Linked DNA regions of Xenopus tropicalis. The protein of the gene in region 1 purifies or fractionates together with the protein of each later gene. This does not show direct contact. Links are inferred from orthologs where the notes say so. Each region holds a gene or a part of one and is shown in the gene's direction. Other genes may lie near its edges.

Region 1 (4,195 bases):
AATTCTGAGGCCACACATGGTCCGAAAATCGTATGAAGATTGTATTGATAGGTGTATGGCCAGCTTAACCCTCATACAGGCATCTTGGTGGCTCCTACCTGCTGTAGTTGGCCACCATTGTCAGTTGCTCAGGTGATAATTACCCCAAAACCCTCGCTGCCCCCTGGGAAGGGCGTCCCACAGTGCTTACATTCCATGGCCCATAGCAGGGACCCAAGTTGTAGCAGTCAGTGATTTTTATTTTTATTTTTTTTGGGGGAAAAAAAAACTTGTCAGGCCAAAATCAGAATAAGTTATAAAGCCACTGGTGTTGGGCTGGTGTGGGGGTATATACACTCATTTGTATTTATTAGCAGGAGCCTGCCATACTAGTACTGGGGGGGGGAGGGGTCAGTTGATTCCCAAATATGCGGGGGGGGGGGGGGGGAAATGTCTGTGATGTCACTGTGAGAGAAGGAGACGGTTGGGTCGTTTGGAGGTGAGGCGAGAGGGTCACTGAGAGGTCACATGCATGATATTAGGCAAATGAGGGGGGTATTGAAGGGGGGGGTTGGGGTATTTAGATCATGGCAGGAATACACAGGAAGGTGGGAAATGGGCAGGGCAGGCTTTGTTGTGATTGAGCTGTGCCCCCAGTGGCATGCAATGGGTTAAAAGATAGGGGGTGTTGACTTGCGAGGCTCAGCTGCCTCCAGTCCATCAGGAGGGGGAGGAGGCAGGAGGAGACACGGCTGTAGAGTTTGCAGCATTGAGCGGTGTGTGTGTGTCACGGGGATCAGTCCTGAGAGGAACAGTATTCCCCCAATGCGCCTCGGCCCATTACAGGAGAGCAGGGAAGCCCCTCCGCCGCGTTACCAGGAAACCGGGCATCCCCATTCTGCATGGAGCCTCCATTCTGCCTAGTAACCCACATACCCAGGGAAGCCTGCAGGAATACCTCCGTCTGACCAGGGATCCTTCAGTCTGTGGCACCGGTCGCCCCTGGGGGTGCAAGGATAACCGTCCCCATTAGCATTGATCCTAACAAGGAGCCCGTTGTGCTAACAAGGAGATCCCACACAGGAAGTTGTGCAGATTCTGCAGCAGGAGAAGTTGACTGGGGGTCCATAGAGAGACCTTCCATTACAGGGCAACCCCCTTCCCCCTGCTGAGAAGAATTGCCCCTTATCTCACACTATCTGCCTGCAAGGACTCCAGCTGCCCCTGTAGGGATTGGGAGCTGATCCCCAACAGATTTGGCCTAATTAAGACTTATAGGTAAGGGATCGACATGCCGGGCAACCCTTTTAATCCCCTGCCACTCTCCCTGATCCCCAGCCAAACTGGGTGCCCCCCAAATTAAGTGGTTCGGAGTGGGGGTTCTGCCCCCGTTGTGCTGTGCCAGGGATTCCATGACTTCAGCCGGAAGAACAACAGATTGAGAAGCAAAAAATTGGGCTACGCTGCAGCATGATGGAAAGGGCATGTAGGGTTCTGGGACACAAGGAAAGGCTCTGCACGGACCACCCTATATGCAGCTAGTGGGGTTCACGTTTTACACCCAGGACTCCCCCCCCAGTTCCAGTTATTTGATGGAATCCGTGCGGAGAGTCTCCCATGTGATATTCCCAGCGGATCTGCCTGCAGAAGCCCATCCCTGCATTTCCCACCGACTTGGAGAATCTCCAATGGCTCTGCTGTGGGATTCCTCCTAAGTCCATAACAATTTCCTACCGGATCTTTGGGGTTTTTCCCCCCCTATTACCCTAAAAATTCCAATTCAACCCCAGACTGCTGAATTCTCTTCCACCCCCCCATTTTTTTTTTTCTTTTCTTTTTGTTATATGGTGAATTTGGAAGGGATTGTAGGATGTACGAGAATGTGGACGTTCCTGGTTTGGGCACTAGCCCGACGCACTACCATATGATGGATTTCTATAGCCAGAACCGGGCTTGCCTATTGCAGGAGAAAGGACTCGGGACCATGCATCCCTACGGGACGCCACTTCGAAGTCAACACTGGAGCAGTTCCAACCACTGTACGTAGGTGATACCCTCTCCACAATCCCCGTCCCTTGTACCGCGGCGGTGCCGCTCGCGCCTGGCTTATTGTTCTTATTTTATTATCAATTTGACAATTTTATTGCCCATTATTCTCGTAGAAGACATCTGTAATTGTGGCACGTTAATGCCTATGTCCAGATGCGCCGCGGCAACATCTGTACGGATAATGCTCTGTATAAATAATCCCAATCTATAACGTGCGCCGAACAATAGTCTCTTTGCGCCGCTCGTAGAGTTGGATTATCCGTCTGTCCTAATGGGAAGATCTTTGTTTTGCTGTTTGTCCTGCAGTGGAGACAATGGCAAACAAATTCTTTCTAGACTGTTGTGGGTGGGACTGTCTCTAGACCATGACAAGATAACCTCATTTACCGCTAGTAGAACGTTCTAGCCGGAGACCGTTTCCCTATACGGGGGCTGTTAGTAACGCAGGGAACTTACTGCTAGATAAGCGTTTAGGCCTCAATTGCGCTCGGATTGAAATGAATATTTTTTTTAATATCGCCAGTATAATAACAATAGCATCATATCTGGGCTATGCAGTATTCTCAGAGTAGCGCTTTATCCACAAACCTATGGGGGTTCTTCTGTTATGGAACTACAACTCCCAGCATGCCCTTACAAGCTTCACTTGTACAGGTCTAGTTCCTGTGTTACATTGCCTCTGGCTATTATTGGGTGAATGCAACTTAATGAGGGTAATGGAAATAAATGACAAATTATGTGTTTTGCATTTTCATGCCGAGCCGCGCTGTATCGTTTCAAAGCGGTTTATTTTCGTAAATGAATTTGGGCCCTGTCTTTGTAACGGTTCCGTGAGCGAGGAATGGGCCTCTGGGCCCACAATCCAGTTTGATAGTAATTAAGTCACCATTCCTGTCTCTCTGTAACTCTCGGGGCATAGGGGCAAAACTCAATGTAGTAATAACAATATCCTGCATAATACTATTTGATACAAACACTTAGGGTGAAGACACACTGGGCTACTTAGTAGCAGCTACTTGTCACGGCTACTAAACTCCAGAAAATCCCCTGCCATAGACAATACTGAGAATTGCCTCTGCTAAAGCACAAGTAGAGACAGTTATCAGTAAATGATCAGCATTGTCTGTTTCTGTCGCTGTGACAAGTAGCTGCTACTAAGTAGCTCTGTGTGTCTTCACCCTAAAACGTGGCTCCACTTAACTCTTCCTTTACCCCTCTGTGTAAAAAAGTATAGCCGGATATGCTGGTGGGCAGCAGTCGGATAACAATGTGGCTGCAGTGTATGGTATGGAGCATTAAAGGGCAACTGCACCCAAAAACTGTTTCGATAATGTAATCCTAAGCAACTTGCCGATATAAATTCATTATACATTCTAGTGGTTTTTTGTAATTGATAAATGAAATCAAAGCAGCATTTGGGCCTTCCTGTCCTCTGGGACTCTCACATGTAGCAGAAGTCCAGCCTCCTCCGGGGTATCCCTGCATTGTTTCAGTAGTCAGAACCAGCAGTGCAGCCAGATTGTGAAACCTTTTCATTACAGGGGTAGTTAACTCTGTTACAGAGTGGCCTATTCTTTGCAACTTTTTAGTTGGTCTTCATTTTTATTTTGTATAGTTTTTTAATTATTTGCTCCTTCTTCTGCCTCTTTCCAGCTTTCAAATGGGGGTCACTGACCCCGGCAGCCAAAAACCTATTGCTCTGTGAGGCTCCAGTTTTATTGTTATTGTTACTTTGTATTACTTACATTTCTATGTAGGCCCTCCTCTATCATATCTCTGTCTCTCTTTCAATCCACTGCCTGGTTGCTAGGTTAAATTGGACCCCAGCAACCGGATAGCTGCTGGACATACCAAACTGGAGAGTTGCCACTTAAAAACCTAAATAATAAAAAAAATAAAAGACCAACTGCAAATTAACTCAGAATAGTACTCTCTACATTGCACCAAAAGTTAATATAAAGGTGAACTGCCCCTTAATTGTATTTTTAATGCGGGCCGTGTATATGACTATTAGATTAATACAGTGGAGAATTAAAGGCACAGTGTAGCCAATACGCTCACGTCAGCACTAAAGTTTATTATGGTTACTTGTCCTTGATTTTGTGGGTTTGTGGTAGTATTTTGGGAAGCACTTTTTCCCATTGCTTCCTTCTCTTTACTCCAGGAA
Region 2 (3,654 bases), on another chromosome or scaffold:
CACCTCCTCAAGTTAACATCATGCAAGATTTAAAAAAGTACAGGCGAGACAGTGCATCAGGTGTTGATCAGTTTTTTAATGAGAGTGATGGACTTCCTTACAGTATAAACATGAATGTCTTCCTTCCTGATATCACTCACTTAAGAACAAGCCTGTATAAGAGCCAGAGGCCACCCGTGACCCATATCAAGACAGAGCCCACTTCAGTATTTAGCCACTCAAGTGATGCTGAACCCACACAGAGTCTTCCTGAATTCACCAGCATCTTCAGTTCCCACCAAAACGCAGATGTTAATAACATCTACATCAAACAAGAGCTCCCTTCACCAGAGCTTCCGCTCTCTGTCAATCCTCAGCAGGGCCAGTTATACCAGCTTTTAAGTTCGCCAGACATTGATATGTCTAACTCCACAAACCAACCCTCAGTTATGGACACTATTAATAGTGCTTCCATGGCCACAGACATGTCTGCCTTTAATACACTTTCTTCTCCAGTACAACAGACTGCAATGAAACAATTCCAGAGCATCCCTCAGTGCTCATATGGCATGCCTAGCCAATTTCTGCACCAGCAAGAAGGAACCTACTTTCCACCTTCTCCTCCTAGCTCTGAACCAGGCAGCCCAGATAGGCAAGCAGAGCTTCTCCAGAGTTTAAACCCTCCACCATCTTATGCAGCCACGATAGCATCCAAGATGGCCATTCACAATCCACCCTTACCTGCACAGGTGCAAATAACAGCCCCTGCTATACAATCTGTACGCTACAACCGTAGAAACAACCCAGATCTGGAGAAAAGGCGCATACATTATTGTGACTACCCTGGTAAGAACCTACATGTAATTGTTCAGGGGTTTATACAAGGTAACGGTCTACTGACTTAATCAAAAGCTTAAAGGAGAGCTAAAGCTTAACAAAGAATGTGTCTAGACATGCAATGCCTTATGTTTTGGGCTTCTGTACTAGCCCAGGGCCACTAGCCATAGCCCTTTAGCAATGAAGGTCTGTGCCTTTGAATATGCGCACATGCTCTGGGCTACTTTCAGCTACCTCAGCTTAGGGACATGTGCACAATAAATAATATATACACTATACACTACAATAATATAAAATCCACCATTCAAGGATTATTGGTAATTAATTCACATTACTCAACAGCAGAGAAACCAAGGTATTCTGAATTTAATCAGCTGTGTAGCATCACCAACTTTGACATATACAACTTTAACTTTCTGGTAGTGTTTTTTACTTGCTTAGCTTGCCAATACCAGCCCCATTGAGTACATGCAGTGCCACAGATACACAAATGATTAAGATGGGGAGCTCCCATGGACAACTTTTTAAGACCTGTCCTACAGCTGCTAAACTTTTGGGCTAATAAAGCAAGTTTGGTAAATAAACATGTCTAGCAGTATTCATTTCTAGGTTTTAGTTCTCCTTTACTTATAGGGTGCATATTTCTTGTTCATTAGATAGTTGGATATGAATGAGACCATGATATATTCTTTACACAATACATTCCTTCTCTGAATATTTGTATTTAAAAATATGAGCAGGTGCTGCAGTACTGTATGTTTTAGCAGAGACTGAGCATTAACAGTACTGGTACCCCTAGTGATTATAATGAAATGGATTTGTCCGACATGGAGAATAGTGAGAATTTTGCATAAAAACTGCAGAGATGGAACCTGTACAATAATAAACCCATCTGACCTGTGTGTATAGTTGTGCATGTTCCACCTGTATATGGACATGCGCATGCAAGAATCTGGGTTATATATGTCACTGTGGCGAAACTGTACTTTGACAGCACTTATTTAAAGTAAAATCTGTCAGGTTTATAGGGCTCCATTTTGTGTAAAGAACGTCATCACCAAGTCAGGTTACCTCTAACCTTGTTGAATTTAGAGCAGTTAGATGATTTAATAGGAATAACAAGATTTTTATAAGCATCCTGCTATTTTAACGTTAATGTTTAACTTGTGTCTTTAAATCTACAATGTGCTTTTGCTTTTCGCATTCTTTATCTAAAACCCCAGTCCTTTACAGTGCAACACTGGGCAAAGAGATTAAAGGAGATACTACTTCAATAAGTAATAGTTCCAGGACAAATATGGTTGTTCTGTATATGAAAAATAAACCGGGGTTATTTGTACGACATGTTTCAAACTGGATTAAGTTATATAGCATATATGAAAAGAAATGACTATATATTAACTAAGAAATAATTTTAACAAATGAGTTTCATATTTTGAAGCATTGTATAACATAGGAGACCTTTCTGTGTGGAGAACTTTCTATATGAAGTTTATGCACACTTGGATAAATGTTATCTCTGGGCCTTCTGTAGGCTCACACTGACTTTTGGTGCATACTTCCTGAGATATATACACATTTTCTAGTGAATTCTACATATTTTAAATGCTTCGCCATTATGTCAGTGGTCAGTCTGAGGTTGAACAGGTCGAAAACAACACAGATCATCCCTGCTCCCTATCCATTGAGGGTCACCAGCATAGTGCTGAATTTAGCATAGTGAAGCAAATTAGGAACTGACTCGGTCAGTAGTGCTTTATTTGCACCCTTATGCAGTCATCATGATTTAGATTCCAACCCTTATACATAAGGGATGTAAAAATGTAAAGGAAATGAAAGGTGTTTTCAGTGAGACTTGAGGATGCCAGCACTAATTGTGCATGAGTTAGGACAGCCTTTTAATGTGAAAGTTAATCATTAGGAACAGAAAGAAAATGATAAAAGTAGCAGAGAGTCCAAGCAATGCACAGAAGCAAATGTGTCACTTTCATGTTAGCAACAGCAAATGCCAAAGTAATAATAAACTGCGCTGTACTTATAATTCTGGAATCTCCCTAGGTATTTTTAGAATGCAAGAATGCAGATGGATATCTAAAGCTCTGAATAACTTTGATAAATAAGTCCGCTCAATAGGAATAAATATACTTGCTCTGGCATTTGAAAAACTACACCTGTTGCAACTTTGAGGAATTCTTTTTTTCTTTACACAGAAAACCCACAAGGAATTCAGATTCTTCATATGTAGTATTTTACTCTTGTTAAGGGCTATGGCACATGGCGAGATTTTAATCATTTTGTTCCCAGAGGTATATAGTAGCTAGCAAAATGGGGACAAGAAACTGAAAAATTGCCCCTACACTTCTTTGGAAATTGCACTGCGCAGTCAGGCTATTTTTGTTTGGAAAGTGATTGCACTATACCTGGCAATTGTTATAGAAGTGAATTGGGGGGGGGGGGCATTGCCTTAAAAATGCGGGGGCTGCTTTTGGCATCATAGCTGCGAGTATCCTGCAAAAGAATACATTAAATGCCTTAATGGTAGACAGAGTGTTAGCGATGTTCTCTGGGCTGTTGCTTCGTGAAATGTTCATTCACAATGATAACCACCATGCTTTTTTACTCTTCTATTGCAGGGTGCACAAAGGTGTATACAAAGTCATCCCATTTAAAAGCCCACCTGAGAACACATACTGGTATGTGCATTTTTTGTTCAATTTAATGGCTGTGTAAATATTATCAATAGAAGTCTCCTCTTTTTGAAGTTGGTATGTTTTTCAATCTAAAACCTCTCATTCATGGCTAATTTTGTCAGTTGCTTTGTTCCCCATGACAGTTAAA
Region 3 (3,654 bases), on another chromosome or scaffold:
CCTTCCACTGGCAATTCCCTTTGTTCACTGTGTGAACCTTTTAGTGCTAGGAATACCAAAACCCACAAATATTGCTGAATAAAACATTAGGCTAAAATTATGATAGTTGTAAGGCCTCTTTATTACTTACATTAGACAAGCAGGTATGTTGGACACAGATGTCTAACCCTGTATTATGGGACTACTAAAAGGCAAATTTTCTGTTCAGGACATACACCATATTGTGGTGCACACAAATAATTTTGTACTAATTTTAGCCACCCACTTTTCCTCTTTTGTTTGCGGGTACATACCTCCCTACATTTGAAAAATGCAAAGAGGGACAACATTTTTGACCACGCCCATTTTTGCAACCACACCTCCTAAAATACCACTCCCATTTTACAAAATATAGCAGGTTATTTAAAGTTTGAACACATTTCTGGGGGTTTGGGGGTCTTGTTGTGTTTTGCAAAAAAAAACAAAAAACCTGTTTAGCTTATTAGTTACAATTGTATCTAAGTGCATGTGTAGCTTCTTAACTTTTCTGGGCTTTCTGCCAAAAGCTACTTTTTTAATTAAGTTTGAGAAAGATTGTATCTTTTTTAGCTTGAGGGACTTTTTAGAAAGAATCTGGGACTGCGGGCTAAGCTGTCAAAATTGGGACTGTCTTTTGAAAATCGGGACAGTTGGGAGGCATGGCCCGACTATAAGGAAATTGTGGGTAATGCTGGCTCTCATGTTAGGGTATGTCAGAATAAGTTCAGCTCAGTGCACCATGGGTAGTTTTTTCTAAACCACAACTGTTGTTAAATACTACAGCTCAATACAAAACAGTTGCCAACTTGTTTGGAAGTAAAAACAGGGAATGAAATTATAGCTGAAGAGAGCATTATTTTATAGTCATGTGTGGGTTTAGAGTTACATTTTATTCTATTGCTGAAATGTATCTTACCAACTAAGAATAAAGCATGTACATACTTCTTCTATTCAGCTTTTGAGGAAGTGTATCCTGCAAATGGTGAAACCTGCAGTGGAAGGATCATTGGGTTCCCCTCCATTTGAGAAGCCTAGTATTGAGCAGGTAATGGGGATCTGACATCTTTTCCTACCTACCTTAGTTTTTTAATGTATGTATATTTGTATTTCTTTTTGTACTTATCAAAGTTCCAGGCTGTTAATCAGTGTCTAATTGTTTATTCCTTAGAAAGTGGTGTTTTCTTAACAAGGCAACTTTTGGAAATCTTGGGCTGTAGAGGGATGTATATCACTGATATTATTTTTTAGTTATAAAATGTCCTTTTCATAGCAACTTTGGTCTTTATTATTATTTTTTTGTTATAGATTTTGAATTATTTGCCATTTTGTTCTCTATCTTTCCAGCTTTCAATGGGGGGGGGGGGGGGGGGGTGGGTCACTGACCCCGACAGCCAAAAAACTGTTGTTCTGTGAACTTACAATTTTATTATTTTTGTTACTTTTTATTACGTAATTTTCTATTCAGTCCCTCTCCAAAACATATTTCAGTCTCTCATTCAAATTGTCTGGTTGCTATGGTAAACAGGACCCTAGAAAACAGCTGCTAAATTCCAAATAACTGATAAACCAAAAGGAAACAAAATTAAAAAACAAGTGCAAATTATCTTATAATATCATGTCTACATCATACAAAAGTTAATTTAAAGGTGGACAACCCCTTTAGTGAGCAGTGACTACATTGGGAACACTCTTGTCCTTACATTACATATTCGTGTTTTTGGACCTTTTGCGATATAAACACATAACCAATGGCAAATCTGCAAAATCCTACATTATTCTCTTTTAGTAGATATAATAATGTGTGTTGCTTTAGAAGAAAAAATCCAAAATTTTCTGACAATGCTTTTTATGTCATTATAACCTTATTCTTCTAGAATGATAGTGGGAAGAATTCCTAGTTCTAGGTCACTAAAGTGTTTAAAGGGCAAATATAACTACCATCTCTCATTCATTTATTTTCTTTATAGTCAATTTAACCTAAGTGTGCTGACTGAGAACCCATTCTCTGCATTCTGCACCACACTATGAAGCTACCACATGCCATGCACAATAATTTAACAATGTACAGTAATGACCAGTTTTCAGTATTGGCTTATTAAAGCCTAAAGGTGGCCATACATGGGCCGATTTTAGGTGCTGATATCAGTCCTTTAGACCAATTTGGGGACCGAATTGGCTAGTTGATGCGCTTCCCGAACCAACGTCGCCTATGCCTGCCGTTTTAATTAATTGAATTACCCCGATATCGCCCACCTGTAGATCTTACAGTGTATGGCCACCTTTACTGGGGCATCAGTATCTGGATGGCAGCCTTAATTGTAGCCAAGCAGAACTGAGCTGATCAGCAGCAAGTAACAGAGTCTGTATTACAGAGCAAATTACTTTCTACACTGCTCACGTTTTTTTCAGGCAGGGGTCAAGAAAACAAAATCTGTGTTATCTTCTTTCTAGGTAGTCTGAAAACATGAAGACTATATTCACTGTGCATCTCTGTATTTACTTTCTTTAAAGGGTGTAAATAATTTTGTACAGTACAAGTTCAGCCATTTGCCTTCCAAAGAAAGACAGACTATCATAGAGCTGGCTAAAATGTTCCTGAATCGCATCAACTACTGGCATTTGGAAACTCCCTCCCAGCGAAGACTAAGGTCACCAAATGATGATATTGCTGGATATAAGGAGAACTATACAAGGTACACTCTTCTTAATGCAATAGTAATGGGTATCTATTGCTGTTGTGTTGCATGCAATCTCTATGATTTGTGGATGTGCATCGTTTGTCGGCTTTGTGAAACTGAAAGACTGCAACAGAAAATCTGAAGTGGTTTGAACTGGCTGCCTGAGTAAAAGACCAAATTATTATTTCATGTGACCTAATTGTGGATTGTTGCTTGCGGGGTGTTGCCATATTTATTAAAGTGGCAAGGCCAAGGGCTTACACTCTATACACAATATTTCAAGGCAAGTACTTCCCTCTATCAAGTTCTTATCTATTCTTGCTATTCTGGCTGTCTTATGCCACACTAAATGACTGAGCATAGAGCCCTGGACAGGTGAAGAGGAGTCACACAGCCTACACTTAACAACAGCTAGAACTGAAACAAAGAAATTGCTCTTTGTAATGAACAAATAGCATAGACCTGGTATAGGATTCTAATCTTTTGACTGAAAGTTTACTTGCTGGTAGGGCAATGGCTCATGGGGAGATTAGTTGCCTGCGGTTAATCTCGGCTACCGTGGGTGACTAATTTCCCTGAAATACCTTTCCACAGGCAATAAAGTAAAATTTCCTGCAAGAGGAAACTTTAAGCGACCTCAGAAAACAAAGCGATATGTATGCCTTCTCGCCGGCGATTCACTTTATATTTGGTGGGAAGGCATTTTAGGAAGATTAGTCGCCTGCAGTAGCTGAGATTTAACTGATCTAACTAATCTCCCCATGGTCCATCAGCCTTAGCTTTTTTATGCTTATTTATCAGTGCCTTAATTACAATAAAACTTGTATTAATTTATAGTAATCTCAATGACCATAGGGAGGGGGTGCAATAATGTTAAAGTTTTAAAGGTATAAAGGTATAAACTATTTTATATGTTAGAAAAATTGAACACGCACAATAAAAACAAGCCTTTGCTTTC

The links. Proteins that work in one complex are often made in the same cells at the same time.
Region 2: the proteins of rara (region 1) and klf5 purify together in Homo sapiens (affinity purification with western blotting; 4 studies listed by BioGRID). This does not show direct contact. The link is inferred for Xenopus tropicalis from reciprocal best matches to the Homo sapiens genes RARA and KLF5.
Region 3: the proteins of rara (region 1) and kat2b purify together in Homo sapiens (affinity purification with western blotting; 3 studies listed by BioGRID). This does not show direct contact. The link is inferred for Xenopus tropicalis from reciprocal best matches to the Homo sapiens genes RARA and KAT2B.

Annotation. Positions count from the first base shown.
Region 1 is NC_030686.2:8,758,023-8,762,217, reverse strand, and holds the start of rara (retinoic acid receptor alpha), read left to right. Parts: upstream 1-1,353; 5' UTR 1,354-1,849; coding exon 1,850-2,018; intron 2,019-4,195. UniProt on the Homo sapiens protein: Receptor for retinoic acid. Retinoic acid receptors bind as heterodimers to their target response elements in response to their ligands, all-trans or 9-cis retinoic acid, and regulate gene expression in various biological processes.
Region 2 is NC_030678.2:127,154,984-127,158,637, reverse strand, and holds part of klf5 (Krueppel-like factor 5), read left to right. Parts: coding exon 1-825; intron 826-3,449; coding exon 3,450-3,509; intron 3,510-3,654. UniProt on the Homo sapiens protein: Transcription factor that binds to GC box promoter elements. Activates the transcription of these genes.
Region 3 is NC_030682.2:45,629,584-45,633,237, forward strand, and holds part of kat2b (histone acetyltransferase KAT2B), read left to right. Parts: intron 1-973; coding exon 974-1,063; intron 1,064-2,529; coding exon 2,530-2,711; intron 2,712-3,654. UniProt on the Homo sapiens protein: Functions as a histone acetyltransferase (HAT) to promote transcriptional activation. Has significant histone acetyltransferase activity with core histones (H3 and H4), and also with nucleosome core particles.